Linked DNA regions of Oryctolagus cuniculus. The protein of the gene in region 1 interacts with the protein of each later gene in a biochemical or structural test. Links are inferred from orthologs where the notes say so. Each region holds a gene or a part of one and is shown in the gene's direction. Other genes may lie near its edges.

Evidence for each region.
Region 2: the proteins of CCNE1 (region 1) and CDC25A form a complex in vitro, tested with the Homo sapiens proteins (2 studies listed by BioGRID). The link is inferred for Oryctolagus cuniculus from reciprocal best matches to the Homo sapiens genes CCNE1 and CDC25A.
Region 3: of the proteins of CCNE1 (region 1) and CDKN1B, one has a biochemical effect on the other in vitro, tested with the Homo sapiens proteins (4 studies listed by BioGRID, with this or other methods). The link is inferred for Oryctolagus cuniculus from reciprocal best matches to the Homo sapiens genes CCNE1 and CDKN1B.
Region 4: of the proteins of CCNE1 (region 1) and BTRC, one has a biochemical effect on the other in vitro, tested with the Homo sapiens proteins (2 studies listed by BioGRID). The link is inferred for Oryctolagus cuniculus from reciprocal best matches to the Homo sapiens genes CCNE1 and BTRC.
Region 5: of the proteins of CCNE1 (region 1) and ARIH1, one has a biochemical effect on the other in vitro, tested with the Homo sapiens proteins (3 studies listed by BioGRID). The link is inferred for Oryctolagus cuniculus from reciprocal best matches to the Homo sapiens genes CCNE1 and ARIH1.
Region 6: of the proteins of CCNE1 (region 1) and FBXW7, one has a biochemical effect on the other in vitro, tested with the Homo sapiens proteins (18 studies listed by BioGRID and IntAct, with this or other methods). The link is inferred for Oryctolagus cuniculus from reciprocal best matches to the Homo sapiens genes CCNE1 and FBXW7.
Region 7: of the proteins of CCNE1 (region 1) and H1-5, one has a biochemical effect on the other in vitro, tested with the Homo sapiens proteins (4 studies listed by BioGRID). The link is inferred for Oryctolagus cuniculus from reciprocal best matches to the Homo sapiens genes CCNE1 and H1-5.

What each region holds. Positions count from the first base shown.
Region 1 is NC_091449.1:26,428,976-26,432,475, reverse strand, and holds part of CCNE1 (G1/S-specific cyclin-E1), read left to right. Parts: intron 1-1,588; coding exon 1,589-1,735; intron 1,736-2,581; coding exon 2,582-2,677; intron 2,678-2,852; coding exon 2,853-2,987; intron 2,988-3,081; coding exon 3,082-3,193; intron 3,194-3,279; coding exon 3,280-3,437; intron 3,438-3,500. UniProt on the Homo sapiens protein: Essential for the control of the cell cycle at the G1/S (start) transition.
Region 2 is NC_091441.1:100,778,504-100,782,003, forward strand, and holds part of CDC25A (M-phase inducer phosphatase 1), read left to right. Parts: coding exon 1-34; intron 35-1,048; coding exon 1,049-1,085; intron 1,086-1,723; coding exon 1,724-1,825; intron 1,826-3,500. UniProt on the Homo sapiens protein: Tyrosine protein phosphatase which functions as a dosage-dependent inducer of mitotic progression. Directly dephosphorylates CDK1 and stimulates its kinase activity. Also dephosphorylates CDK2 in complex with cyclin-E, in vitro.
Region 3 is NC_091440.1:110,363,029-110,367,096, forward strand, and holds the start of CDKN1B (cyclin-dependent kinase inhibitor 1B), read left to right. Parts: upstream 1-1,268; 5' UTR 1,269-1,913; coding exon 1,914-2,388; intron 2,389-2,944; coding exon 2,945-3,066; 3' UTR 3,067-3,074; intron 3,075-4,068. UniProt on the Homo sapiens protein: Important regulator of cell cycle progression. Inhibits the kinase activity of CDK2 bound to cyclin A, but has little inhibitory activity on CDK2 bound to SPDYA. Involved in G1 arrest. Potent inhibitor of cyclin E- and cyclin A-CDK2 complexes.
Region 4 is NC_091446.1:28,367,130-28,371,198, reverse strand, and holds the end of BTRC (F-box/WD repeat-containing protein 1A), read left to right. Parts: intron 1-3,234; coding exon 3,235-3,441; 3' UTR 3,442-3,569; downstream 3,570-4,069. UniProt on the Homo sapiens protein: Substrate recognition component of a SCF (SKP1-CUL1-F-box protein) E3 ubiquitin-protein ligase complex which mediates the ubiquitination and subsequent proteasomal degradation of target proteins. Recognizes and binds to phosphorylated target proteins.
Region 5 is NC_091443.1:110,729,969-110,734,178, reverse strand, and holds the start of ARIH1 (E3 ubiquitin-protein ligase ARIH1), read left to right. Parts: upstream 1-1,410; 5' UTR 1,411-1,738; coding exon 1,739-2,113; intron 2,114-4,210. UniProt on the Homo sapiens protein: E3 ubiquitin-protein ligase, which catalyzes ubiquitination of target proteins together with ubiquitin-conjugating enzyme E2 UBE2L3.
Region 6 is NC_091439.1:12,199,196-12,202,695, forward strand, and holds part of FBXW7 (F-box/WD repeat-containing protein 7), read left to right. Parts: intron 1-2,353; coding exon 2,354-2,477; intron 2,478-3,500. UniProt on the Homo sapiens protein: Substrate recognition component of a SCF (SKP1-CUL1-F-box protein) E3 ubiquitin-protein ligase complex which mediates the ubiquitination and subsequent proteasomal degradation of target proteins.
Region 7 is NC_091436.1:169,837,342-169,840,832, reverse strand, and holds H1-5 (histone H1.5), read left to right. Parts: upstream 1-1,176; 5' UTR 1,177-1,232; coding exon 1,233-1,910; 3' UTR 1,911-2,991; downstream 2,992-3,491. UniProt on the Homo sapiens protein: Histone H1 protein binds to linker DNA between nucleosomes forming the macromolecular structure known as the chromatin fiber. Histones H1 are necessary for the condensation of nucleosome chains into higher-order structured fibers.

The sequences.
Region 1 (3,500 bases):
CCCCTTTGCAGTCGGCCATTTCCAGGGCTATGTGTGCCCCGCTGTGCTAGTCCTACAGGTGAATCCCCTGCTGCCCCTTGCCTTCAGTGTGCCCTCATCAGGCCAGTCAGTCACTTTGTGGTATTTGCCAGCCATATTTTCTTGGTAGCATTTGTGTGGACTAGAAGCAGAAGAGTTCAGCATTCCTCATACTTTGTAGGAATGTTTCTATGAAGAGCTAAATGTGGTTGGGGCTGGCGCTGTGGCACAGCAGGTTAATCCACCACCTATGACACTGGAGACCCTTATCAAAGCTCTGGGTCCAGTCCTCGCTGCTGTACTTCCAGTTCAGCTCCCTGCTGATGTGCCTGGGTAAGCAGCAGCAGATGACCCAAGTACCTGGACCTCTGCCACCCCTGTGGGAGACCCGTATGGAGTTCTAGGCTCCTGGGTTCAGCTTGGCCCACCGCCACCATTGCATCTCTGTCCATCTCTCCTCTCTCTGTCACTCTGCCTTTTAAAAAAAAAAAAGAAGCTAAATATGGTCTCGCCTGGACCTTAGAAATAGGCCTAGGTGATTGATAGAATTTTGTTCTTAATTTTTAAAAAATTTATTTTTATTATGTATTAAGGACAGAATAATGGAGAGAAGAGAGAAAAACAGATCTTCATCTACTGGTCTATTCCCCAGATGGTTGCAGTGACTAGGGCTGGGCTAGGCTGAAGCCAGGAGTTCCATGCAGTCTCCCACGTAGGCAGCAGGGATCCAAGTTCAAGCACTTGGGTCCTCATCTGTGTGAAACACAGCAGCAGGGACTTGAACCAGTGCTCCAGTAGCATTGCAGGCAGCCGCTTAACGCACTGTGCCATGATGCCTGGCCCCTCGTGGGGTTTCCTGGCAGTATTCTGAGTATGGTTTTTCTGGCTCCTCTTCTGCATGTTCACTCCGTGATCTGCACTTCCATGAGGTGGCTTGGAGAGGAGTGACAACGGTGGTGTCACATGGAGCTCTATACGCATAACCAGGCATTCGATGGTGGGCAACTGAGGTCTAATATTTTCTCCGTCCATTCAATCCCATCGCGTGTGCTTTTGCACCAGGCTCTTGTGAGGCGGGCAAGGCAAGCATTGTCCTAGTTTTGAAGTTTGAGAAATCTGAAGTGCAATCCAAGTGAGAGCCAAATCTAAAGCCTGGGTCTCTGGGTCACTTGTTTAGTGCTTTCTAGAACAGCTTTTGCCTCCTGGGATTTATAGTGGTTTGGGCATGCTGTTGTCCTTACGTACATTTGCATTGCCGCTGTTCGACATTCTTATTGGTATTGCTCAGGTGGGAGGAAATGTCTCCACGTCATAATGAAATTTATAATCCAGGGCGGCGGCGGCGGTGGGGGGCAGCATTCTTTGAGAACCTGCAGTTCCGTTCTGTTTTGGTTCTTTTCCATGACAATTCTGTGGCCCATGAATGTTTGTTCTGTGGTTACATGATCACAGAACACTTTGTCCTTATATCCGAGTTCCAGGTTCTTTGTCATCTCTCGTGATTGGTTATACCAAGTTGTTTTTGCTGTTGTTCAAGTACCTGTTCTGAAACGCACTGAATATTTTTCAGGTGTGTGAAGTCTATAAGCTTCACAGGGAGACATTTTACTTGGCACAGGATTTCTTTGATCGGTACATGGCCACACAAGAAAATATTGTAAAAACACTTCTACAACTTATTGGGATCTCATCTTTATTTATTGCTGCCAAACTCGAGGTAAATCATTTTCAGTATTTGTTCTATAACAATGTGTTTCATGAGCATTGCTAAGATTAGGGCACAAGATCAACCACTTGTCTATAATACATATCCTACATTTGTCTACTTTGAGACACATGCCCAGAGGGCTGGAACCCAGCTGAGCAGAGAGGTGGAGTGAGTATATGGAATACTTGGGTTGATGCAGCTACCTTAACCACAAAATTGTGAAAAGACAGAGAAAAGTGAGCTTTGAACCACCAGGAGCCAGTTTTGAGGGTCAGGCGTTCGGCCTAGCAATTAAGATGCCAGCTGAGGCCCCCACATCGCACACTGGAGCACCCAGATTTGATGCCGATTCTGGCTCCTGACCCCAGCATCCTGCTGGTGCAAACCCTGGGATTTGTAAATGGGTTCCTGCCACCCACGCGGGGGACTCCAGTTTGGCCCTGGCCCGGCCCTAGCTGTTGTGGGCATATGGGGATTGAACAAGCAGATAAGAGCTTTTTTTCTCTCTCTGCCTCTCAGATAAATAAAAATGTAAATAATAACTGACCCTCATGGAAAAAAAAAAGTAAATTTTTGGGTGATTACAGAAGAGGCTATGGGCCAAACTTTCAGACATGTAGTTCAAAAAGATACTGAGAAGATGAGAATTTCAAACTCCAGTCATGAGGACAGGTCGGGTTTATGCGGAGAGAGTGTCCCTTCCTTTGCAGTGAGCGGATTGTGAGGCACCGGCGGGACCCCTGAACTGTCCCACAGGGAGCCCTCTCCTTCCGCGCCAGGCGGGTGCGGCGGAGGCCGAAGCTGTTTTGGAGATGGGCCTTTTGCTCACCGTCCCGTCCTTTCGTCCTCTTCTAGGAAATCTACCCTCCGAAGCTGCACCAGTTTGCTTATGTCACCGACGGGGCTTGTTCAGGGGACGAGATTCTTACCATGGAATTAGTGATTATGAAGGTAGGTTACAAGTTAAGTTTTCGGCCATTTCTTAAACACACACGTAATGTCTTTTCCTCGTGAGAGGGGCGTGCCTCTGGTGGGTGCTCGCCGGCTGGCCACACTGTGGCATGAAATGTGGCTGTATTTTGAATTTCTTTTCTCAACCGTGGGTCTCCTTTCTGTTTCCCTCTAGGCCCTTAAGTGGCATTTAAGTCCCCTGACCATTGTGTCCTGGCTGAACGTCTACATGCAGGTTGCGTACCTGAATGATGTGTGTGAGGTGCTACTGCCACAGTATCCCCAGCAAATCTTCACACAGATTGCAGAGGTAGGCGGCCACCCCGCAGCCAGGGCGAGGACCCACAGGGGCGCGTGCCGGCCGCCCACCTGCCACAGTGGTCTTTTCTTCTCCTTCTCTGTAGCTTTTAGATCTCTGTGTCCTGGATGTCGGCTGCCTAGAATTTTCCTATGGTGTCCTCGCTGCCTCCGCCTTGTACCATTTCTCGTCATCCGAGTTGATGCAGAAGGTGTCAGGTATGTTTGCCTCGCGGTGAGCTCGCAGGCAGGCTGTGTTGAACTTAGCACGCTCGGGCTGAGCCTGCGCCTTCTCTCCATTGCAGGGTATCAGTGGTGTGACATCGAGAAGTGTGTCAAGTGGATGGTTCCATTTGCCATGGTTATAAGAGAGACAGGAAGCTCCAAACTGAAGCACTTCAGGGGGGTTCCCGCCGAAGACGCGCACAACATACAGACCCACATCAACAGCTTGGATTTGCTGGTCAGTGCTCTCCCTGCTTAGTCTCCCACTCACTGTCCTCCAGGCAGGCTCCAGATGCCCCAC
Region 2 (3,500 bases), on another chromosome or scaffold:
TGGATTCTCCTGGGCCCTTGGACAGGAAAGAAAAGTATGTATTCACTGCTTTTAAATTTATACATAGAAAAAAAGCCTTTCTTAACTTCTTAAAAGATTTACTTATTTATTTGAAATGTGGAGAGAGAGATCTTCCATGCACAGGTTCACTCCCTAAATGCCCCCAGTGGCCCAGGCTAGGCCAGGCCAAAGTATCATCTGCTGCCCCCCAGGTACATGAGCAGGAAGTTGGGTTAGAAGCACAGAAGAGTCAGGCACTGCAATTGGGATACAGGCATCCCAAGGAGCAGCTTAACCCACTGTGCTACAATAGCCTGTCCCTCAATTTTTTACTGAAGTTCTTTATATTCTGCACTGGAACCCTAGCTTTAGCTGTTCCTAGAAAGACCCCTGGATTCTGGAAAAACTTCACGAGTAGTGTGTACTTCCCTCCTTAGATTTTAGCTCTTGTTTTGGTGTTAGTCAAATTCTTAAGAGAATGTATTTTAAGGGAAGGTTTGGATTTTCTTTTTTACCTAGAAGCCCAGTGTTGGAGGTGCTCCTAAAAATAGGATAGCGGCCGGCACCGCAGCTCACTGGGCTAATCCTCCGCCTTGCTGCGCCGGCACACCGGGTTCTAGTCCCGGTCGGGGCGCCGGATTCTGTCCCGGTTGCCCCTCTTCCAGGCCAGCTCTCTGCTGTGGCCAGGGAGTGCAGTGGAGGATGGCCCAGGTGCTTGGGCCCTGCACCCCATGGGAGACCAGGAAAAGCACCTGGCTCCTGGCTCCTGCCATCGGATCAGCGCGGTGCGCTGGCCGCAGCGCACCGGCCGCGGTGGCCATTGGAGGGTGAACCAACGGCAAGGGAAGACCTTTCTCTCTCTGTCCACTCTGCCTGTCAAAAAATAAAAAAAATAAAAAATAAAAACAAAAAAATAGGATAGCATCAGAAATTTATTTCTTTTCTTTCCTAAAATAGGAATGTGTTTGACTGCTCCCTCACATTGTAGGTTAAAATGAACATCTTTACTTGCTTTATTCTCATTGTTTACCTTCTGATCTTATTACAGTCTCGAAAATCCCATGAAGAGGATAAATTCCCTGCCTGTAAGTTAGTTCCCTTGTTTATTTTGAGGTCGTACCTGTTGTCTGCTTGCCAGCTTCCAGCTTGCCTTGATAGACCTCAATGTAGAAAGTGAAACTGCTTTTCTTCAGTCTCAGAAGCACTCGAGACTACAGTAGCTTTAATAAGGGCTACCCACTGAAGACATCTGACTAGCAGAACTTGATTAAAACAGGATGAAGTTTTGTTTTTGTTTATTAAGATTTATTTTATTTGAAAGGCAGTTATAGAGAGGGAAAGACAGAGATCTTTCACCTGCTAGTCTACTCCTCAAATGGACACAATGGCCAGGGCTGGGCCAAGCCAAAACCAGAAACTGGGTCTCCCACATGGATGTAGGGGCCCAAGCACTTGACCATTCTCTGCTGCTTTCTCAGGGATGCTAATAGGGAGCTGATTGGAAGTGGAGCAACCAGGATCTGCCCATAAGGGATGTGCACACTGCAGGCAGCAGCCTTTACCTGCCATGCCACAGCAACCTACAGTGCACAGAGCTAGGAAAGGGCCTTTTATGCAGATATTTGGGGATGAAGTTATCTCCCACCTCACTTCTTTTGAGAGCTGTTTTCCATGGAATTTTTATTTATGTACCCTAATTATTTCCTTTTTTTCAATTTGATAGCCGAAGCTCTTGGGATGCAGCCCAGCTCTGAAGAGGAGCCATTCTGATTCTCTTGACCATGACATCTTTCAGCTCATCGACCAGGATGAGAACAAGGAAAATGTGAGTGTGGCATCACTGCACTAAGCCAGATATCAGGAGTTTGCAGAAAAATTTCTGGGAGTATTCAACTTTGGCCAGAGAAGTGTGTGGCCTTTGTAGTCAGAAAATTTGGGATTGAATCCTGCTTCTTACTAGCTGTGGGAGCTTGGCAAATAACTTCCCTTTTTAGGCTTCTTTGTAAAGTAGGGATACCAATACCTCTTAGGGCCATTGTATAAAGAATTTAAAATGGTGCCTGGAAGGTAGGCAGCAACAGATCTACCATCTGCTGGGGTTTTTTGTTTGTTTTTATTTTCTTAAAGATTTAATTATTTGAAAGTCCAAATTACAGAGAAAGGGGCAGAGATCTTCCATTGACTGGTTCACTCAAAATGGCTGCAACATCAGGGCTGGGCCAGGCTGAAGCCAGGATCCATGTGCTTTATCCTGGTCTTCAACTTGGATATAGGGGCCCAAGGACCTGGGACATTCTCCATCGCTTTCCCAGGCGCATTAGCAGGAAGCTGGATTGGAAGTGGAGCAGCTAGGATTCAAACCGATGCCCATATGGGATGCTGGCACTGCAGATGGTAGCTTAATCCACTGCGCCACAGTGCCAGCCCCATCTGCTGTTTAACTTCCCCAAATGCTTTCAATAGCTAGAGTAGGGCCAGGCCAAAGCTGGGAGCCCAGAATTCCTTCTGGGTCTTCCACATGGTTGCCAGGGACCCAAACACTTGAGCCATCACTTGCTACCTCCCATGGTGCACATCAGCAATAAGCTGAATCAAAAGTGCAGGAGCTTGAACTCAAGCCAGCCACTCAAATCGGAATGTGGGCATCCTAAGAGGCCAGACACCCACCCCTGACTTTTTCAGATGCACAGGAAGGCATCCAAAACAGTTGAACATATTTGCTTAACTCTCCCTACCCTTTCCCAGAGTATTTCCATATGTCTGTTTTCTCTCTGTTCCATTTTCTGCTAAAAATAATCAGTTTGTGATCATTATATTCTTATAGAGTTAGTGTAAAACCTGCCTTCATGAACTCTCCTGACGATTCTTTGGTAACTTGGGAGATGTCATGAAGGAGATGAAAATGAGTTCCTGCCTTCAGGGCTTGCAGAGCAAGCAATGGGTCTACCCCCATGCAATGTTTCTTTCTGCCAGCCAAACTGTTACAATGCTTTGTTATCCCCCAAGCCTCTCCCTGATTGCCTGCATAGAGCTGTTTTCTAAAGGGAAAATTGGGTAGATGGTGGTTGAAGAGCTGTTCTGGAGTCACTCTGTCTGCCTTCAGTATCATAGGCACATTTCACCTCTAAGGCCTAGTTTTTTTTAACTGCCTAAATAAATATTAAGAAAAAGTAACAGGTTCTTAAAGTGAATATTTAGGGTGAGGGTTCATGAGTGCTTTTGAAGTTTAAGTGAAATCATGTAATCTGTCACATTTAGCTATTTACAGTCAACATTGTAAAAATCATCCTTGTTGAGTAAACCAGTAGGGTTTTTTCATTGCTTTTTCTATGAAATACAGTAGTCATCTTAAGTGGGAAAATAATTGTCTGCCATTGGTAGGATGAGGTAAAAAATATGAAGCCCTCAGATGAAATGTTTTGACATAATGGACAGTTAATTGTGATGGCATTGCATTAGGATTTTAGACGGCATTTGTAGTTTATCACTCTGCTTTGTAT
Region 3 (4,068 bases), on another chromosome or scaffold:
CATCCTCCACTGCACTCCCTGGCCATAGCAGAGAGCTGGCCTGGAAGAGGGGCAACCGGGACAGAATCCGGCGCCCCAACCGGGACTAGAACCCGGTGTGCCGGCGCCGCAAGGTGGAGGATTAGCCTATTGAGCCACGGCGCCGGCTTCGGTGTCCAATAAGACTTAACTAACTGATCCCACAGTAAGATGCCACAAGTTGTGAATGGGTGATGCGCAGACTGAGCTGTCTCCAACGGGACGGCCCTGCCCCCGGCCTGTCTCAACTTCCACCACCTGCAGAAGACCAACCTGGCAGGTAAACGTCAAGTTGCAAAGGAGAGCCGAGAGAAATGCCCGAATAACATCGGGTGTTAGGACAGGGCTGTGTGAACTCACTTTATCACGTGGACTTGGAGTGTTTTCACCCAGGCATCTAAAAGCACGCAGCTGAACGTCGTTCAGAGAGTTCAGCCTTCATCCAAATACAGCTCCGAGTCGGGTGCTGCAGCGAATCCCGCGGGAGAAGCAAGGGGCTGGGCCCAGGTGGAAGAAATAGGAACAGTTCTCCACACCCGTCCCTCCCTGCACTTGGGGGCTGCAACCTCGGTTTTTAAAAGCCGGGTTTAGGGACAGCAACAAAGTGCACGTAGGGGCTGGCGAGGCCAGACGGGGGTTGTCCATCCCGAGGTCCTTTCTCCTTTCTATTGAGGGAGAACTTGGGTTCCAAGCGCGTTCTAAACGCTGCGTCCACTTCCGGCTACTTTAGAGAAAGTCGTCTGCCCTGGCTCGCTTCCCCGAGCCCCTTCCCTGCCTGCTCTGGGACTTAGTGGTGAGGGGTGAGCTCACCACTGGTCTCACCCTCTACAGCCCCAGCGAAGGCACCCGGGCAGGGGGCCTGCCCGCGAAGTGGGAGCTGCGGGGGAGAGCCGAGCTGGGCTGGGGTGAGGTGGGGGGTGGGGGATGGGGAAGGGAAGGGCAGGGCTCTTACCCCCACCCCCACCCCCGGCTTGGCGGGCGCCAGCAGAACCAGCTGGGCGGCGGGCCTCAGAACGAGGCGCGGGGGCGACCCTCGGGGCCCCTGGGCTCCGGGCCCGTGGTTGCCCTGGCGAGGAGCCGGGAGGTCGGCGCTTGGGGGCGGCTGCGCGTCCTAGACCCTGGCGGCCCCGCCCGGCCCGCCGCCCAGGCCCCTCCCTAGCGCCGCGGCCGGCCGTTTGGCTCTTCGGGGCCCGTCGCCTTTTTAATTTCTCCGCGGCCGGCGCAGCAGGTTTGCTGGCAGCCGCGCAGCCCCCGTCTGCAGGCGGCGCTCGGGGACGCGGGCGGGCGCCGGCCCCCGCGCCGGGGCCACCTTAAGGCCGCGCTCGCCAGCCTCGGCGGGGCGGCTCCCGGCGCCGCGACCAATGGATCTCCTCCTCTGTTTAAATAGACTCGCCGTGTCAATCATCTTCTTCTTCGTCAGCCTCCCTTCCACCGCCATATTGGGCCACTAAAAAAAGGGGGCTCGTCTTTTCGGGGTGTTTTACGCCCCCTCCCTTCTCTCCACTCTCTCTCCCCGCGGCGCGGCTCCGTCGGCGCAAGGTTTGGAGAGCGGCTGCTTGCGGAGACCCGCGGACTCGCTCCGGCCTGGACTCGGACCGGCCGGGTCACCCCTCCCCGCTCCTCCCCTCCCCTCCCCGCCCTCCTGCGCGCCCGCACTCCTGATCGGCAGCGGCGGCGGCGGCCTGGGCTGCGCGGCCGGGGCGTCCCCGCTCGGCTCCCGCACCCTGCGCGCCCCCAGGAGCGCGGGCGGCGACTGGTCTGGGTCCATCTCCCCGGGCTCTGAGCGCATTCGCGGGGCTCCGCAGCGTCGGAGCGTTGGGCTGCGTTCGGTTTTGTTTTGCGGAGAGCGCGCGCCAGAGAAGAGGCGGCGGGGTCCAGACCCGGTACGGGGCGAGATGTCCAACGTGCGCGTGTCCAACGGGAGCCCAAGCCTGGAGCGCACGGACGCCAGGCAGGCGGAGCACCCCAAGCCCTCCGCCTGCAGAAACCTCTTCGGCCCGGTGAATCACGAAGAGCTGACCCGGGACCTGGAGAAGCACTGCAGAGACATGGAGGAGGCGAGCCAGCGCAAGTGGAATTTCGACTTCCAGAATCACAAGCCCCTGGAGGGCAAGTACGAATGGCAGGAGGTGGATAAGGGCAGCTTGCCCGAGTTCTATTACAGACCCCCGCGGCCGCCCAAGGGCGCCTGCAAGGTGCCGGCGCAGGAAAGCCAGGACACCGGCGGGGTCCGCCCCGCGGCGCCGGTGGCCGCGTCCCAGGCCAGCTCCGAGGACACGCACCTGGGGGACCCAAAGACTGAGCAGTCCGACGGCCCCACGGCCTTGGCCGAGCAGTGCGCGGGGATGAGGAAGCGACCTGCCACAGACGGTAAAGACCCTCCCGGAGCCGAAAGGCGCCTCTGTCCTCCGTCAGTCCGTCGGTCCGTCGGTGCGCGCTCCCGCTCTGCCTGCTTGCGGCTCTTTAACTCCAGCCTATTCTGATGGGAGAGCTCGGGGCGCGGGTGGGGGGTGGAGGGAACGAACTTTTTTATTGATCTCGGGTTTTTGAATGTTACCCGGGAGGCTGCTGGTCTGTTTATAAAGGCAGAAGCCGGGAGATTGTAGGATCTGATCGTTTTGCCCAGGTTGAAAACAGCGCCTTTCCTTCCTACCCCTGGGTAGGTGACAAGGTCGGGATGTTGATCAGCGGCCTCCAACACCCCCCCCCACACACACACACCGGGTCAGGGTAGAGGAAGGTGCGGGGGCCCCATTTCTGTGTGGTGCAGACCACCTTCCTGGGGGCCGCCCCGTCCAGGACCGTGCGTGGAGGCGGTGGGTTTTCATCCCCCTGGCCACTGGGCCAACTTGTGCCGGCCATTGTTTCTTTTACTGAAGATTGTGTGTGTGTGTGTGTCCTTTAAATAATCTCCTCTTGCCTTTAGATTCTTCCCCTCAAAACAAAAGAGCCAACAGAACAGAAGAAAACGGTTCCGACGGTTCCCCGAACGCCGGCTCTGTGGAGCAGACGCCCAAGAAGCCGGGCCTCCGAAGACGTCAGACGTAAACAACTCGGTGGGTTCATCAAAAACGGACACCCCGCGCCCCAGAAAAACAAGCCCAGCTCTGACACCCTAGCTGGGCTGCAGGACCGGTCCCCCCTCCCCCTAATACCCATAGCCAGCTGCTGGGTGCTTGCAGGGTTTGGTTTTGTTTATATTTTGAAAAGGCAAAAAAGTAGCCATGGGGCTGGCTGGAAGTCACCAGCCGTTGGGATACTGTAATCCTTCAAGGTTTCTCTCTCTGGGGATGATTTTCCCTTGAAACACTAACCGCCTAGAGCAAGTACTTGTCATTTTCCGTGAGTCACACCCACACGGGTTGGGAACAATAGATTCCTCCTTCCATCTGAGCAAGAACTGGGGTGCCCCCTCAGTCCCCCTGTTCCAGAGCTCACTTCCTAGCCTATTCAAGTGGAGACAGTAACAGGTTTTGAGCCATACATGGAAAATTGGCCAACACGCAGTCAAAATTTAAACGTGGAGAGAAGAGTTGGTTTATGTGAGGGGTTAGAAATGTGACCAGGGAGGTGAGAGATTGTGTTCTTTTATCTTTATTATTTTTGTAAACTGTCATTTTCCCTTTTTATTGAATATGTTTTGGTCAGAGAAAAGGAACCTGTGTATTAAAAAAAAAAAAAAAAAAGCCAAAAGTGGAAAGCTCGAATATACTCAGATTCCTACGGAATTTCTGATAACACAGAAGCTGCAAAGCAGAAGTTAAGTTCACTGTGGCACAGTAAGCAGTCCAGGAACACGTCAGCGCGTATGCTAATCACACTGTTACCAGCATGATTTGGATATTTGTAGGGGAGATGTCAGGACTGGTGAGGGTAGGTTTACCAGTACAGGAAAAATGAAGTGTTTTCCATATACTAAAATCTGATCACGGTGGATGGCTCATTTGACTAATTCAGCTTCTAACTTTACCTGGATTGGCTGTCCCTCCTGATCAAACTACTTATATTAATAGTTTGGTGGCTTCCTATACACAAGGAGTGTGATCTCTC
Region 4 (4,069 bases), on another chromosome or scaffold:
TATTAATTTCAGAGAGCAGACTTCAGAATAAGGACTCTTATCAGGGGTGAAGATGGGTTCTCAGATCACAGTGACCACAATGGAATGAAACTAGAAATCAATAACAGGAAAATAGAAATAGTTGCAAAATGCCAGAGCATCCATGGAGATTAAACAGCATCCTTCTGAGTTACATATGGGTCAGAGAACTTTGAAAAGTATTTTGAAGGGCTAGTGCTGTGGCACAGCAGGTTAACGCCCTGGCCTGATGCACTGGCATCCCATATGGGCACCGGTTCAAGACCTGGCAGCTCTACTTCCAATCCAGTTCTCTGCTATAGCCTGGGAAAGCAGTAGAAGATGGCCCAAGTCCTCGGGCCCCTGCGCCCATGTGGGAGACCCGGAAGAAGCTCCTGGCTCCTGGCTTCAGATCGGCGCAGCTCGGGTATTGCAGCCAATTGGGGAGTGAACCAGCAAATGGAAGACCTCTCTCTCTCTGCCTCTCCTCTCTGTAACTCTGATTTTCAAATAAATAAATAGATCTTTAAAAATATTTTGAACCAAATGAAAATGAAAATATGGCTTATTTAAAAATTGTGGGATGTAGGGAAATTTATAGCATTGAATGCATGTATTAGAGAAGAAAGCTGTGAAATCAATAAAGTTTCTACTTGAGTAAACTAGAAGATCAAATTAAATCCAAAGTAAGCAGAAGAAAAGAAATGAAAAAAATTAGAGCAGAAATCTATGAAATAGGCAAGAAAATCAGTAAGACCAGAGCTGGGAGAGTGGCCATTTAGCCAAGCAGTTAAGATACTCAAATCCTACATCGTAGTGCCTGGATTGGACTCTTGTAATTGGGTTCCTACCATCCACAGGAAAGACCTGTATTAGGTTCCCTGATTCCAACCTTGCCCCCAGGCCCAGCCCTGGCCGTTGCAAGCATTTGTGCAGAGAACCAGCAGATGGAAACTTTGTCTCTCTGTCTCTGTGAGTGTGTGTGTGTGTGTGTGTGTTTGTGTGCGCACGTGCCTGTCAAATAAATAAATTAACCAAAAAGCTGGTTTTCTTTAAAAATATCAATAAAATTGATAAGCCTTTAGCCAGGATAAGGAAAAGAGAGATTAAACAAAATTACAGTATCAGCAGTGAAAGGGCATCGCCACAGATTTCATGAACATTTAAAGGATAATAGAGGAGGCCGGCGCCGTGGCTCACTTGACTAATCCTCCGTTTGTGGCGCTGGCACACCGGGTTCTAGTCCCGGTTGGGGCGCCGGATTCTGTCCCAGTTGTTCCTCTTCCAGTCCAGTTCTCTGCTGTGGCCCGGGAGTGCAGTGGAGGATGGCCCAAGTGCTTGGGCCCTGCACCCACATGGCAGACCAGGAGGAAGCACCTGGCTCCTGGCTTCAGATCAGCGCAGTGCACCGGCCACAGTGGCCATTGAGGGGTGAACCAATGGAAAAGGAAGACCTTTCTCTCTGTTTCTCTCTCTCTCTCACTGTCTAACTCTGCCTGTCCAAAAAATTAAAAAAAAAAAAAAAAAGGATAATAGAGGAAATACTGTGCACAGCTCTTGATGCCCGCAGTTTAATCGCCTATGTGAAACAGAATAATTCCTTGAAAGTTACAGTGCCACAGTTCACACATAAAGCGGTAGATAATCTGAACAGGCCTGTATTTATTAAAGAAACTGAATCAGTAGGTAGCAGCCTTCTAAAACATTTTGAGACCAGGCCCCATTTAAGACAGAAATTTCACCCATTTTCTAATTTCTTCTTTAGGATAAAAGGAGAAAGAATGTTTCCTAACCTGGCCGGCGCCGCGGCTCACTAGGCTGATCCTCCGCCTAGCGGCGCCGGCACACCAGGTTCTAGTCCCGGTCGGGGCGCCGGATTCTGTCCCAGTTGCCCCTCTTCCAGGCCAGCTCTCTGCTGTGGCCAGGGAGTGCAGTGGAGGATGGCCCAAGTACTTGGGCCCTGCACCCACATGGGAGGCCAGGATAAGTACCTGGCTCCTGCCATCGGATCAGTGCGGTGCGCCGGCTGCAGCGGCCATTGGAGGGTGAACCAACGGCAAAGGAAGACCTTTCTCTGTCTCTCTCTCTCTCTGTCCACTCTGCCTGTCAAAAAATAATAAAAAAAATTAAAAAAAAATGTTTCCTAACCCACACTGTGGAGCCAGCATTACCCTAATTCCCACACCAGGCAAAGGTACCACAAGAACAACTTGGTACAGACCAGTATTTCTCACGAACATAGGTGCTCATGTTTGAGCGCCTTTAGATCTTGAATGTAAAACGGGGTAAGCACTGTGGTGCAGTGGGTTAAGTTGTTGCTTGGGATTGAGTCCCATCTCTACTTCCCATCCAACTTCCTGTGAATGCACCTGGAAGACTGCAGAAGAGAGCCCAGGAACTTGGAGTTCCTGGCTGCTGGCTTTGGCCTTTGCAGATAGCAGTTACCTCTTTCTCTGTCTCTCCTTCTCTCTCACTCACTCTCTCTCTATCAAACTGCCTCTCAAATAAATAAATAAATAAAACTTTTTAAAATTATTTTTAAAGACTTATCTGAAATACAAAATAAAAATGTATAAAGAGAATGGTACACTATGATCAGATAACATTTATCTAGGTACAATATGCAAAGCTGCTTTTAACATTAAAAAAATCTAATAATGTAATCTACCACATTGACAGGCTAAAGAAGAAAAATCACATGAGCACATGAGTAGATGCAGTAAAAGTGTTGCAACACCCATTCATGATAAAACTCTGAGCAAGGGAGTAGCCTTGGGATGCAGCAGCTTAAGCTGCCACTTGCAACACTAGCATCCCGTATTAGAGCGCCAGTTCAAGTCTCAGCTGCTCCACTTAACATTCCAGCTCCCTGCTAATGCACTTGGGAAAGCAGCAGGTGATGATGCAAGTACTTGGGCTCCTGCCTCCCTTGTAGGAGATGCAGATGGAGTTACGGGCCTCTGGCTTCAGTCAGACCCAACCCTAGCCGTTGAGACCTTTTGGGAGTGAATCAGCAGATGGAAGATACCTATTTTTTATTTTTTTTTAAGATTTATTTATTTGAAAGGCAGAGTTACAGAGAGACAGAGAGAGAGAGGGGTCTTCCATCTGCTGGTTCACTCCCCAGATGACTGAAACAGCCAGAGCTGCACCAATCAGGAGCCAGGAGCTTCCTCCAGACCTCCCACACTGGTGCAGGGTCCCACAGACTTGGGCCATCTTCTGCTGCTTTCCCAGGCCACAGCAGAGAGCTGGATCAGAAGTGGAGCAGCCGGGACTCAAACCAGTGCCCATGGGGTGCCGGCACCGCAGGCAGCAGCTTTACCCGCTACACCACAGCGCCAGCCTCAGGTATCTCTTTCTGTCTCTGCCTCTTCCTCTGTCACTGTACCTTTCAAATTAAGAGGAAGAAACAACAGAAAACCAGGAATAGAAGGGATCTAATAAAATACCGCTAAAACTTGCCATATAAATGCTTTTTATTGACAGTGTTAGTTGTTGGTAAGAATGTGGAGCAACTGGAACTCTTATACTGCTGGTGTGAGTGTAAATAAACTGGCACAGCTTTTCAAAAACTTTCATAATGGCATCTATCAAAGTAAACATGTACCTACTCCATGGCCAGCAGTTGTACTCCTAGGAGAAATGAGTACATGTATCCCTCAAAAAACATGTGCAAAAATGTTCGTAGCAGCTTTACTTACGATAGCCATAAACTGTAATCAGAACGTGTATGTCCACCAGCAAGAGAATAATAGATCAATTGTAGTACTCTGTATGGTGGAATATCATCCAGTAATACAAAGAAAGTAGACTACAGTTTTGTAGATATAATAATAGGGTGGAATCTTGTAGATACAGTGTCCGATGAAAGAAGCCTTCAAGAGAGAATATAGTCTGTGCATGTCTATTTATATGGAATTCAAGAACAGTCCAAACAAATTAATGGTAGGTTTGGAGTGAAGCTAGTGTCAGCTGGTAGGGGCCAGAGATATTTCAGGATGCAGGAAATGCTCTGCTTCTTGGTTGGGGTGCTGGTTTCTGTCAGTGTTGTGCTGGAACACTCCTGTCA
Region 5 (4,210 bases), on another chromosome or scaffold:
AGGCAGGCTTTGAAGGCTGGTGCCGCTTCTCAACCTTGTTTACAGGAACAACTCAAACGTGGACATTAGTACAGGGAACGGCCTACTCGTCACTTCCATACCCAACAAGCCCCTGCCACTTCACTGGTTTCAGAACCCCACCAAACTTTGATGAACCCCAAGTCTAGCAGGCATCCTGGAGCCCTCCCCACCGCCAGACCCGCAGCCAATGGTGCTGGCCCCCCTTTCAAATTAAGGCAGAATCCGGTCTCTTCTCATCACCTGCCCTGCCACTGCCCGAGCTCAAGGCCCTGTGGTCACCTGGACTTCTAAGACGGGCTCCTAACCGGTCTCTGCCTTCACAGCCCATTCTGCACGCAGGAGCCAGGGTTCTTTTCGGGAACACAGATCCCAAGTTCACTCTTCTAAAACCCTGCAACGCTTCCCATTGCAACAACGGCCGGCTTCCACTGCTTCGCTCCTGGTCCTTGTGTTTTCCCCATTTCTCTGCTGTGAGCAGGGTTGGGGGAAACCAGCAAAGGTGTAACGGGAGTTACCAAGGGGGCGACACGGGTTGCTGGGTGACACCGAGCGCCTGGCGTTTGATAGGATGTTCTGGGCTGCGCGTGTTTCCCCGGCTCTCCTGTTTACAAAGACGCCAAGTCCACTGGCAGGATGGCATCGGAGCCGTGCCAGCACCTCGCCAGTGCACCTGCTTGTCCTGCTCGCTCCCTCGCACCCCGCCTGCCCTGGGCGCGCAGGACGCAGGTGCCCGCGCCCCCACCGGCGCCGCGTTGTGGGGCGGTGCCCGGCGTACCGCACCGGGTCCTTACAAAGCGTTTTGACGCCTGTCCAGCAACCCCCCCCCAAGCACAGGGAGCGCCTTCCGTGGCCTGCCCGGCCCCTTTGGCTTCGGGCCCCGTCCGGCGCGCAGATAGCGGAGCCCAGGCGAACTCGGAGCTTCGGGCCCCAGGCAGCGCCCGCCGCGTGACGTCACCGTCGGGGGCACGGGCGCGAGCTGCACCTGCCGCACAGCGTAGGTTCCACGCGCGCGCGCGCGCAGCATCCCGCGCCCCCCAACCCCCACAGTTCAGCGGCCCGGGGGCCCGGGGGGCTCGAGTCCAGAGCCGCGGCTGCCAGGAGTCACGCCCGGTCCCCCTGGACCGCGCAGGGGACGGACGGGTCCCCCGCGGTCACAGCCGCCGCCGGGGCCACGGAGCCGCAGCCGTCTCGTGGGAGGCGCCCCCACCCCACCCCCACGGGCCCCGGCCCCGCAGAGCCGCTCGGCCGCACCACGGACCCTGGGGCGCCGCGGCGCTCGCCGACCTGGCGGGCCGGGCCGCGGGGTTTCCCGCACACGGCGCGCAGGGGCGGCGGGGCGGGGCGCGGTGACGTACGGGCGTGACGCGCGACGCAGCGCGACGCGGTGACGCACGCCCCTTTGTTGGCTCAGTAGCGGCAGCAGCGGCCGTGGAGGTGGCGCTGGGGGCTGTTTTCTCTCGGAGGCCGGAGCGGAGCGGCGTCTGACTGAGGCGGGCGGCCACAGGCCCCTCGCCGCCTCCCTCGCCGCCTCCCGCGCGCCGTCCCCGCCGCCCGCCGCCCGCCGCCAGCCGCCCGCCGCCGCCGCCGCGCCGGGGAGGAGCCGCGGCCCGCGCGGCCGCAGCCAGGCCTGCGCCCCGGACACCCGCCGGAGCCGGAGCGAGAGCCGGGGCCTCGGCGTCCCCGCCCTCTCCCCGCCTCGGCCAGCGTCCGCCGCGCCATGGACTCGGACGAGGGCTACAACTACGAGTTCGACGAGGACGAGGAGTGCAGCGAGGAGGACAGCGGCGCGGAGGAGGAGGAGGACGAGGACGACGACGAGCCGGACGATGATAACCTGGACCTGGGCGAGGTGGAGCTGGTGGAGCCCGGGCTGGGCGTCGGCGGGGAGCGGGACGGACTGCTGTGCGGGGAGACGGGCGGCGGCGGCGGCAGCGCCCTGGGGCCGGGCGGCGGCGGTGGCGGCGGCGGCGGCGGCGGCGGCGGCGGGCCTGGGCACGAGCAGGAGGAGGACTACCGCTACGAGGTGCTCACGGCCGAGCAGATCCTGCAGCACATGGTGGAGTGCATCCGGGAGGTCAACGAGGTCATCCAGGTGAGCGTGGCCGCCGCGCGGGCCTGCCGGCCGCCGCCGCCCCTGCCGGGGATGCAGGGTGCGCGGGCGGGCGCTCGCCGGCCGGGCCGGGCCGGGCCGGGCCGGGCCGGGCCGGGCGCGGGGAGGCGCGCGGGGGCGGCGCTTCCCGGCCCCGGCCATGGCGCAGGCCTGCCGCCGCCGCCCGGGGCCTCCGGCTCGCGGCCGATGCCTGCCGCGCCGGGCCCGGCGGCCGCGGGCTGCCTCCCGCGCGGGGCGGGGCGGGCGCGGGTGCGGGAGGAGGAGGAGTGGCGGGGGATCGGCCCGGTCCTGGGTGCTCCGGGCCGGTCTGGGGAGGGACTAGGGCAGGCCCGCGAGCAGCTGGGTGTACGGTTGCCCCAAGCGGGCACGAGTCAAAGGAGAAACGGATCCGCCCGGCAGGCCGAGCGCCTGCCTGCTCGGGGGAGGGGAAGAGGCGCGGGTGGGCCCTTTCCGACGGCGCGGCTGCTGCTGGCGGCGGTGACGTCCTGGCTGGCTGCAGGCGAGCGCCGGGGCCGCTCCGGCCGGCCGCACACGCGTCCCTGCGGCTCGCCGGGCAGCCCCCGAGCGCAGGGCGTCCCCCTGGACGGGGCTCCGTTTTGTGAGGTTTTCTGTGTCTGAGCTCGGTGCTCTCCTGCTCCGTGGTCAGGAAGCGAGGCTTGGCCGAATTCGGTGATCGCGGCTCCTTTAAGCCTGTGCATCGGGTTTTGCAGGTGTTTTTTTTTTTTTTCTTTAAGGAAATCAAAACTTTTTATTGAGGGAAAAATCGTGGTGAGGCGGCAAGGGATGTGGTTGCAGAATAAAAATGCCTTGATCCGGTGCGGCGTTCCGAAGACGCCGGCTCCCTGCGCGAGCAGCAGTTGCTGTTGCTTTCCTGCCTGTCCCTCGGCACTTTTTTAGAAATCCCTCAGGCGGCTCGCTGGGTCCCCGATCAGCAGTGTGTCGTGGCCTGTGTCCTGACTCCGTTTCCAGCGGACCCCGTGGAGTAGTTTAGTAAGCACCAGTCTCAGAGTAGCCCCGTCTTTGAAGGCAGCACTTCCCGTTCTGAATAACAGGGAGTCTCGTATCTAGTGCTGTTCTTCAACAGTTGGGATCCAAGAAGGAAGCCGAACGGTTTTAGGTACAAATTTACTGCTTTTTTTTTTTTTTAATTCCACAAATAACGATAGTTGAAATACTGGGCCACCGAATTGAGAGCTTGCTTTTTTTACCTAAAGAGAATTTTAGGAATTTAAAGTGAAACTTTATTTACAGCTGTCATACAAAATCTGTTCTCAAGCTTATTGCCTGGCCTTCTGCAATTTTAATTAGCTTTAAAAAACTTGTAGATATTTGTTACTTAGTTTTCTGATTTTTTTTTGAAGTCTGTTTTTCCTGTGGTTAAGTCTCTTCTAGTTTTCTCAGCTGTGAGGCTTGTGTTAATTACCAAAGGTCCCAATCAAGTTCTTTATGTCACTTCTGGAAAGAAATGTGACCAGTGCATGTGATAGCATTCTTTTAAGTGAGAGAGAGTAAATGCTGATGGAGTGAACTAATAAGACCTACAGGATACCAGGGACTTTTTTTCTTTTTTATGTGTCCTACTTTTACCTTGTTTCCATGCCTGGTGTTTTGAAAGAAAACTTTCATCGTCTGCCTTATTGTAAGATCGGTTTTAAATAGGATTCCTGAATATACCTGGTGTTGTATACTCATAAGTATCTATCCCTTGTTCAAACCTCCTTCTTAGAAATAGCAATAAAATCGAAGGGCAGAGTGTTTCTGTGACCATTTTTTCTCCAAATGGTATACTTACCTAGGTCTCAGATGGGCTTTGGCTATGTTGCAAGTTCATTTTATTAATAGATGTAGACTTTAAAAGTTATGCAAGTAATAAATCCACATTGTGAGGAAAAAAACAGTGACTAGGCAAGAAAAATAAAATGACAAAATAAGCCTTCCGCTCAGAGAGAGAACACTAAACTGAACTGTAGTTACCTTTCCAGACCTCGGGATAGCTGCGCGGAGTTTCCAGTCCCGGTGGAATCATGCTGTGTGTTCTGTTTTCAGTGGAGGAGAGAGGGCAAAAACAAAGCAGTCTCT
Region 6 (3,500 bases), on another chromosome or scaffold:
TGGCTGCAGTGGCCAGAGCTGGGCTAGGAAGTAGCCAGGAGCTTCATCTGGGTCTCCCACGTTAGTACAGGGGCCCAAGGAGTTGGGCCATTTTCTGCTGCTTTCCCATGAGCATTAGTAGAGAGCTGGATGGGGAGTGGAGCAGCCAGGACTCAAGCTGGCGCCCACATGGGATGCCGGCCCTGCAGGTGGCAGCTTTACCCACCACAGCACTGGCCCCCGGGGTTGTATTCTTGAAACCCAGGCTGTTCTGGATTTGTTGTTTCCTAGCATGCAGTATCCATTGGCTATTTCTGTAAACTGCTTGATTTCTAACTCAGATAACCAAAGAATTGTGATATTTTTGTATCGTGGTTCTCCATATATCAGGCTTTAATTAGCATCTCTTGTACTCTGTCTGAAAATTTCTGTGCTAAATTATAATTCCACATAAATTAATCATATGATGACTTCACATTACTACTATGCTGACAGTATGCCAACTTGCCTAAACTTTTATTGTAATTAACTGGCTTTATGGAGTACCTGTTAAAAAGTACAATATTGAAAGAGAGGTGCGTGCATTTGTTTATGTGTATACACATACGTATATGCACACATGCATAGGTTATTAAATATAGTTATACCTTTGTTTAAGTGACTCCATTTCTGTACATAACACTGAGTGGTCTTCTCTGGTAGACCAAAGGTAATTAATTATCTTGCAAAAAGTTTTCCACTGTCACTTATCAATAATGGTATTAAATTGAATACTGGCTGGTTGGAGCACTTTGTATATAGAATGTGCTCCATAAATATGTGATTGATGTGGAACTCTGTACATATAAAGTCATTGAGAAGTGGTTATTTATATCATGTAATTCCTACTTAGCAACAAAAAAACCTCAAATTGTTGTTTTGCTTTATTCCCTATATGACCCTTGACCCTTTAAGTGATGGTTAATGTTAATCCTTGTCATAACTTTATCGTTCTTTGATGAACTTTTCTCCAGATATCATAATTTAAGTTTCTTGTGTGACATGTGAGGCTACTTGAATCAGCATTGTCAGAGGCTTCCATTTTCCTCTTCCCTTTTCTTTTTTATTTAAATTGACTTTATGCACATTAAAAAAGATACTATAAATAAACTTTTTAAATCACAGAGCTAGCTCAAATATGCAACTCTGTGTAGCCCATCAAGAAAATCTCTATAAGCAATGTAAAGTAATTAGAATCCAGTTATATATCTACCTCTTAGAAATGATATGAAGGGCCGACGCTATGGTGCATCGGCTTAACGCCCTGGCCTGAAGCACCGGCATCCAGTATGGGCGCTGGTTCTAGTCCCGGCTGCTCCTCTTCCGATCCAGCTCTCTGCTGTGGCCTGGGGAGAGCAATAGAAGATGGCCCAAGTGCTTGGGCCCCTGCACCCATGTGGGAGACCCGAAAGAAGCTTCTGGCTCCTGGCTTCGCATCGGCACAGCTCCGGCCGTTGCAGCCATCTTGGGAGTGAACCAGCAGATGGAAGACCTTTCTCTCTCTCTCTCTCTCTCTCTCTCTGTCCCTACCTCTCTCTGTGTAACTCTGACTTTCAAGTAAAATAAATTAAAAAAAATCTTTAAAAAAAATAAATGACATGAAATTGAACCACAGAGAACCTGTAGAATCTTATTATCAGACCATGAGGCAAGCATTCAGGTGGTGTTCAGTGAATGTATACTGTAGAGGGAGAGAGTAATTTTAAACAAGTAATACAGTTAAATTATTGAGCTGAAGCTCACAGAGGAAAGGAAAGAGCAGAGACTGAGGCGTTAGTTAAGTGTTCTTTGAAGAGGTAGCGTTAGGAAAGTTCATAAAAACCAGGATGGTGCTTGTTTTTAGTCTACTGCATATTTGTTAAGATTGAAGATACAGGGCAGGCGTTGCGCTTACAGCAGGTGAAGCTGCCATTAGGGAGGCCCACGTCCCATGTCAGAGTGCGGGTGTGAGTCCCGGCTGCTTTGCTTCCAGTGCATCCTGGTGGCAGCAGACAATGGCGCACATGCTTGGGTCCCTGCCACCCACATGGGAGACTGCTGGATCTGGCTCCTGGTTTCAGCCTGGCCAGCCCTGGCTGTTGCACACATCTGGGGAGTAAACCAGCAGATGGAAGATACTTTCTGTCTTTCTCCCTCTCTCTCTGTCTCACTCTGCCTCTCAAATGAATAAACAAACTTTAAAAAAAAGATGAAAGTTACTGTCACATAATTTTAGAAATTATAATGTCAAGTTACATCTATATGCAAGTATTTTATCCTATGGATAATAATGCACTTGTTTCTGTAAATTGTTCTTTAAAATGTGGGTATACTATGCGTCTCTTCTTTTTCATAGCTGGCACTTTACGTGCTTTCATTCCTGGAACCCAAAGACCTGCTACAGGCGGCTCAGACGTGCCGCTACTGGAGAATCTTGGCTGAGGACAACCTTCTCTGGAGAGAGAAATGCAAAGAAGAGGGTAAGACTCAAAGCTGCATGGAGCGTAAATCGATGCTTCGGAAAAGGAAAGCGATGCTGAAAACAAGTAGGGAAAATAAAAATGAGTGCATTTGATGTGCAGGTAGAATAAAGTAGTGGGTCATTGAGAAAAGGAGAGAGAGAAGTTTGACACCCTATAAAAGAATGGGTCTTCATTTAAATTCACCTACATGAGTTCAACAATGAAAAAGTCAAGATGAGGATAATTTAAAGGAAACCCCAAAGTTATATTATCAATTAAGTACCCAACTATTCAGTGATTGTTTGTTCCTTCCATGAATATTTATTGAATGTCTCCAGTGAGCTAGACTGTATTCTTAAATGCTGGTAAGACAGCAGCGACCTGCCATTTTCTTCCTGTCACGGAGCGTGTATTCCTGAAGCCTGTGTTTTTGAATACCCTGTCTCAGTAGAGGAGTAGACCTTGCGCATACTAATTCAAGGGAGAGCTCTCCGCTTTCCAGCAAACATGTAGGAAAATAGCATTTTTGACAAAATATTACTTGCTTTAGAGAGGCAAAACTTTTGAGAAAGAGTCATAGAACATGACCCAGGTAACTCTGTGGGTGGTCCTGTCTTTCGTGGTGCTCAAGGTCATGTGGGGAACGTTGACAGTTAGGCCAGGTTGGTAAAGCTTTGAGGAGGAGACCCCATATACTAGGTTTCTGATCCTGCTTCTACCCTGTCTAGGGCAAGGAGTAATCTGTGAAACCTTCCTTCTCAATTATCTGTATACAGAACGTGGGGTTCATAGCTCTGCCTTACCTTTACCATAGAGTCCGTTTTAGATGTCTTTTTACAAAGTGGTGACAAAGCCATAACAAAATCTGTCATGTAACCATCTGGAAGTGGTGCCGGGTGCTTCACGTTTTGTGCAGGGTCACCGCCATGCACCTCTAGAGCTTCTTCCTCTTGCCTAGCTGAGCCTCCATACTTGCTGTGGGCAGCTCTTCCCCCTCCTCCCCCGAGCCCCCAGCAGCCACCCTTGTGCTTTTTGTCCCCC
Region 7 (3,491 bases), on another chromosome or scaffold:
TTCAATATGGAACTAAAGTTGCTTGAGCTCCTTTAAAATGCTGCCTGCTCCCCCCTCTTCGAGAGCAAACCCCGCTCCTCATTCCGACCTCATGGCCTTCGTCTCAGTTGTTTCAGGATCCTTTTCTGAACCGTAAGAGCATTCAGCCTCTCGAAAACTGCAGCTCAGCCTTCCACAGTCAGTATCCAATTCGTCTTCCAAAAAATGAGTCTGCAAAAACACCCATACTGGTCCACCCTGGCTGCTTACAGAAAAGAGCACTTGTGATCATGTAGTTCACGCAGTGCTGTCGGAAATCAGTGCAGACATTGGGAAGAACGCTTCGGAGACCAGACATCACCCTACATCTTTAAGCACTCGTGCGCTTATTAGGTTACTAGGCGACCTGGTTCATTTTTCATACTTGAGAGGTTGTTTTGGTAATGCAAATTATCTGTTAAATATCATGTCTATTTTAATAGATTTAAACCAGCAATTAAAGTAAGTATCCTAATTAGGAAATGTACAAAATTTAGAGTTTGATTTCAAGGAGTTGGATTCTAAAGTCAAGGGCTTTTCTGACCCTCCGGTTGCTATTCGCAACAATCGCTCTGAAAACCCAGATTTCCCAAGCTGAAAACCTCATTCCCTGAAGACCTCCTCGGCCCCCATAAACTGTCTTTACAGCCAGTTCGGTGTGACCGGCGTGAGGCTGCAGACAGCCAGCTGCGCACTCCCTGTGCTACTTGCTACAGCTAGAAACAATGTTTCCGTCCAAACCAAGGAACCCAGCGCCGCTCCTCTTCTAGGAATCAAAGGCTGACACTAGGAATAAACCCTTCTAAACGCTGTTCGCTGGATACTTGTTCGAAATTTATTGCAACTTGCAACTAAGTAGCAGGATACCGTCAGCCCAAGGGGTTCTCACCAAACGCCGCAGGGATTTTTAAGAATATCCCGCCTCCATTGCGCTCGGTTGACGAACCCACAAACAAGTCCGTGAACCTGGGGGCTGGTTTCCTCCTTTGGAACGCCTAAGCGTCAAATTCCGTGCCGATGTTTTCTGCATTTAATCGAATTTCGGGGACGAACAAACACAACCTGGAGACGCAGCCTCGAGCGGCGGCGGCCCGAGGGCGGCGGATTGGACGCTCCACCAATCACGAGGCAGCGCCGGCTTATATAAGCCCCGACCCGAGCGAGGCGGCATCGCCAAAACTTGTGCTCTGGGCTCCGCAGCGACTCCTGCCGCCATGTCGGAAGCCGCTCCTGCCGAGACCGCCGCTCCGGCGCCTGCCGAGAAGTCCCCCGCCAAGAAGAAGGCGGCCAAGAAACCGGGCGCGGGCGCGGCGAAGCGCAAGGCCGCCGGGCCCCCGGTGTCCGAGCTGATCACCAAGGCCGTGGCCGCCTCCAAGGAGCGCAACGGGCTCTCGCTGGCCGCGCTCAAGAAGGCGCTGGCGGCGGGCGGCTACGACGTGGAGAAGAACAACAGCCGCATCAAGCTGGGCCTCAAGAGCCTGGTGAGCAAGGGCACCCTGGTGCAGACCAAAGGCACCGGCGCCTCGGGCTCCTTCAAGCTCAACAAGAAGGCAGCGTCTGGCGAGGCCAAGCCCAAGGCCAAGAAGGCGGGCGCGGCCAAGCCCAAGAAGCCCGCGGGCGCCACCCCCAAGAAGCCCAAGAAGGCCGCGGGGGCCAAGAAGGCGGTGAAGAAGACGCCCAAGAAGGCCAAGAAGCCCGCGGCGGCGGCCGTCAAGAAGGTGGCCAAGAGCCCCAAGAAGGCCAAGGCTGCGGCCAAGCCCAAGAAGGCGGCCAAGAGCCCCGCCAAGCCCAAGGCTGTGAAGCCGAAGGCCGCCAAGCCCAAGGCTCCCAAGCCCAAGGCCGCCAAGCCCAAGGCCGCGAAGGCCAAGAAGACGGCCGCCAAGAAGAAGTAAAAAGCTGCGCCGTCTGGCCACCGACCAAGCCCCAAAGGCTCTTTTCAGAGCCACCCAGAGACCTCTGGAGAGAGCTGTCTGTCCACCCTTCGCTCGTGTCCAGCCAGGCTCGCACGTAGCTATGTGGGCTTCGAGTGCCCTACCATTCCACGGAGTGTAGTGTCCCCCCCCACTCGCCTGTCGGGGGTAGCCCTCGCCACCTGGCCCCGGGGGACGTTGGCTCTCCAGGAGCGGTTTCCATGGCTCTGAAAAGAGCCTTCGATGCGGGCACAAGCCGACGCGCAGCTTTAAGCTCGTTGCGGATGGTAACTGCAGGTGCGCGTCTTGTTGCGCACTGCGTAGCCCGCCAGCTCCAGGGTCTCGGCCGCCAGGTGCACGGGCGCCCCCCCCGCTCCGCGCGGTTGCCCTTGCGCAGCAGCCGGTCCACGTGGCCCACGGGGAACTGCAACCCGGCCCGGGATGCCGCGTCTTGGCCTTGATGCGCACCTCGCCTCTGCCTGCCGCGTCCGGACATAGTTAAACACGCAGCCGAAAGCTGCAAGTAGAAAGTAGATTATGTTGCTGCTTCTGCTGAGCGCGAAGAGGTGGCCGTGCGATTGGCTCCTGCGCTGTTTTCATTTAGGCCAATGGAATAGGGTGATGTAGGGTAGAGCCTTCGATTGGGTGACGCATATGTGACGCAGTCGCGGACAGCTAGCTGCCTTGTGTTCTGTGCATAGCGTCCCGTAAATGAAGAGCCGTGGCGGGCTCTTCTCGCCGCCCTCCGTAGGCTGGTTTGTCTTTGCGTCTCCCTCTTGCCAGGAGCTAGGCTGCTAGCTCACCACCAAGGGCCAGTGCAGGCGCATCCACGTACGTATACAAGGCACACCAGCAGGAGCACCCCGACGGCTGCCACTAGTCCTATGCCTCGGGCGTCATGACATCGGGGACCTAGCTTTAATCGGCACAAAGATGAACTAGTGATGCTGAAGTCGAGAAGGAGAATGAAGTTCAACCCAATGAATCCCCTTTTCTCACCAGTTAGGGAGGGAGGGTGGGTCCTCGCCGCTACCGCAGGTGCTGGGCCCGCCATTTACAGGCTGCCGGCGCCTCTGAACGCCTGTCCCTGTGGGGCCGAGGTCCTCTCGCCTCCCCCCGCCTCCATGCCTTTCCCGCGCGGTTCCTCTATCTGGAGTTCCAGCTCCCGTTCACGCTCCTGTTAATCTTTCCCTTTAAGGGACGGCGTTTACTGTTTTCACTTGGTCGCCGTTTTCCGTCTTTTGCGTCTCTGAATCGGCCCCAGGCTTCATTTCCCGCTACTCCCCCTTACTGTGTTTTCCGTAAGAAGGGAAATTGTAAACCAAAAGGCCAGGAGGCCTTTCCTCACGTGCAGGCTCGCAGCGTCCCGGCTGGCAGAGCATCTTGCCTTTGACGTTAAATTAATCGGTGTGGAAACGACGTTCTGCAAACTGCCCAACACCGTCACCGTGCGTGTAGGTATTGAGCTTCCTGTGGCTTCATGCTTCAGGAGTCTCAGAAGTGTACATCCTTTCTAGACTGCCTTTTCCTTTGTAATCCATTTCTAACCAGCATTGCCTGTCT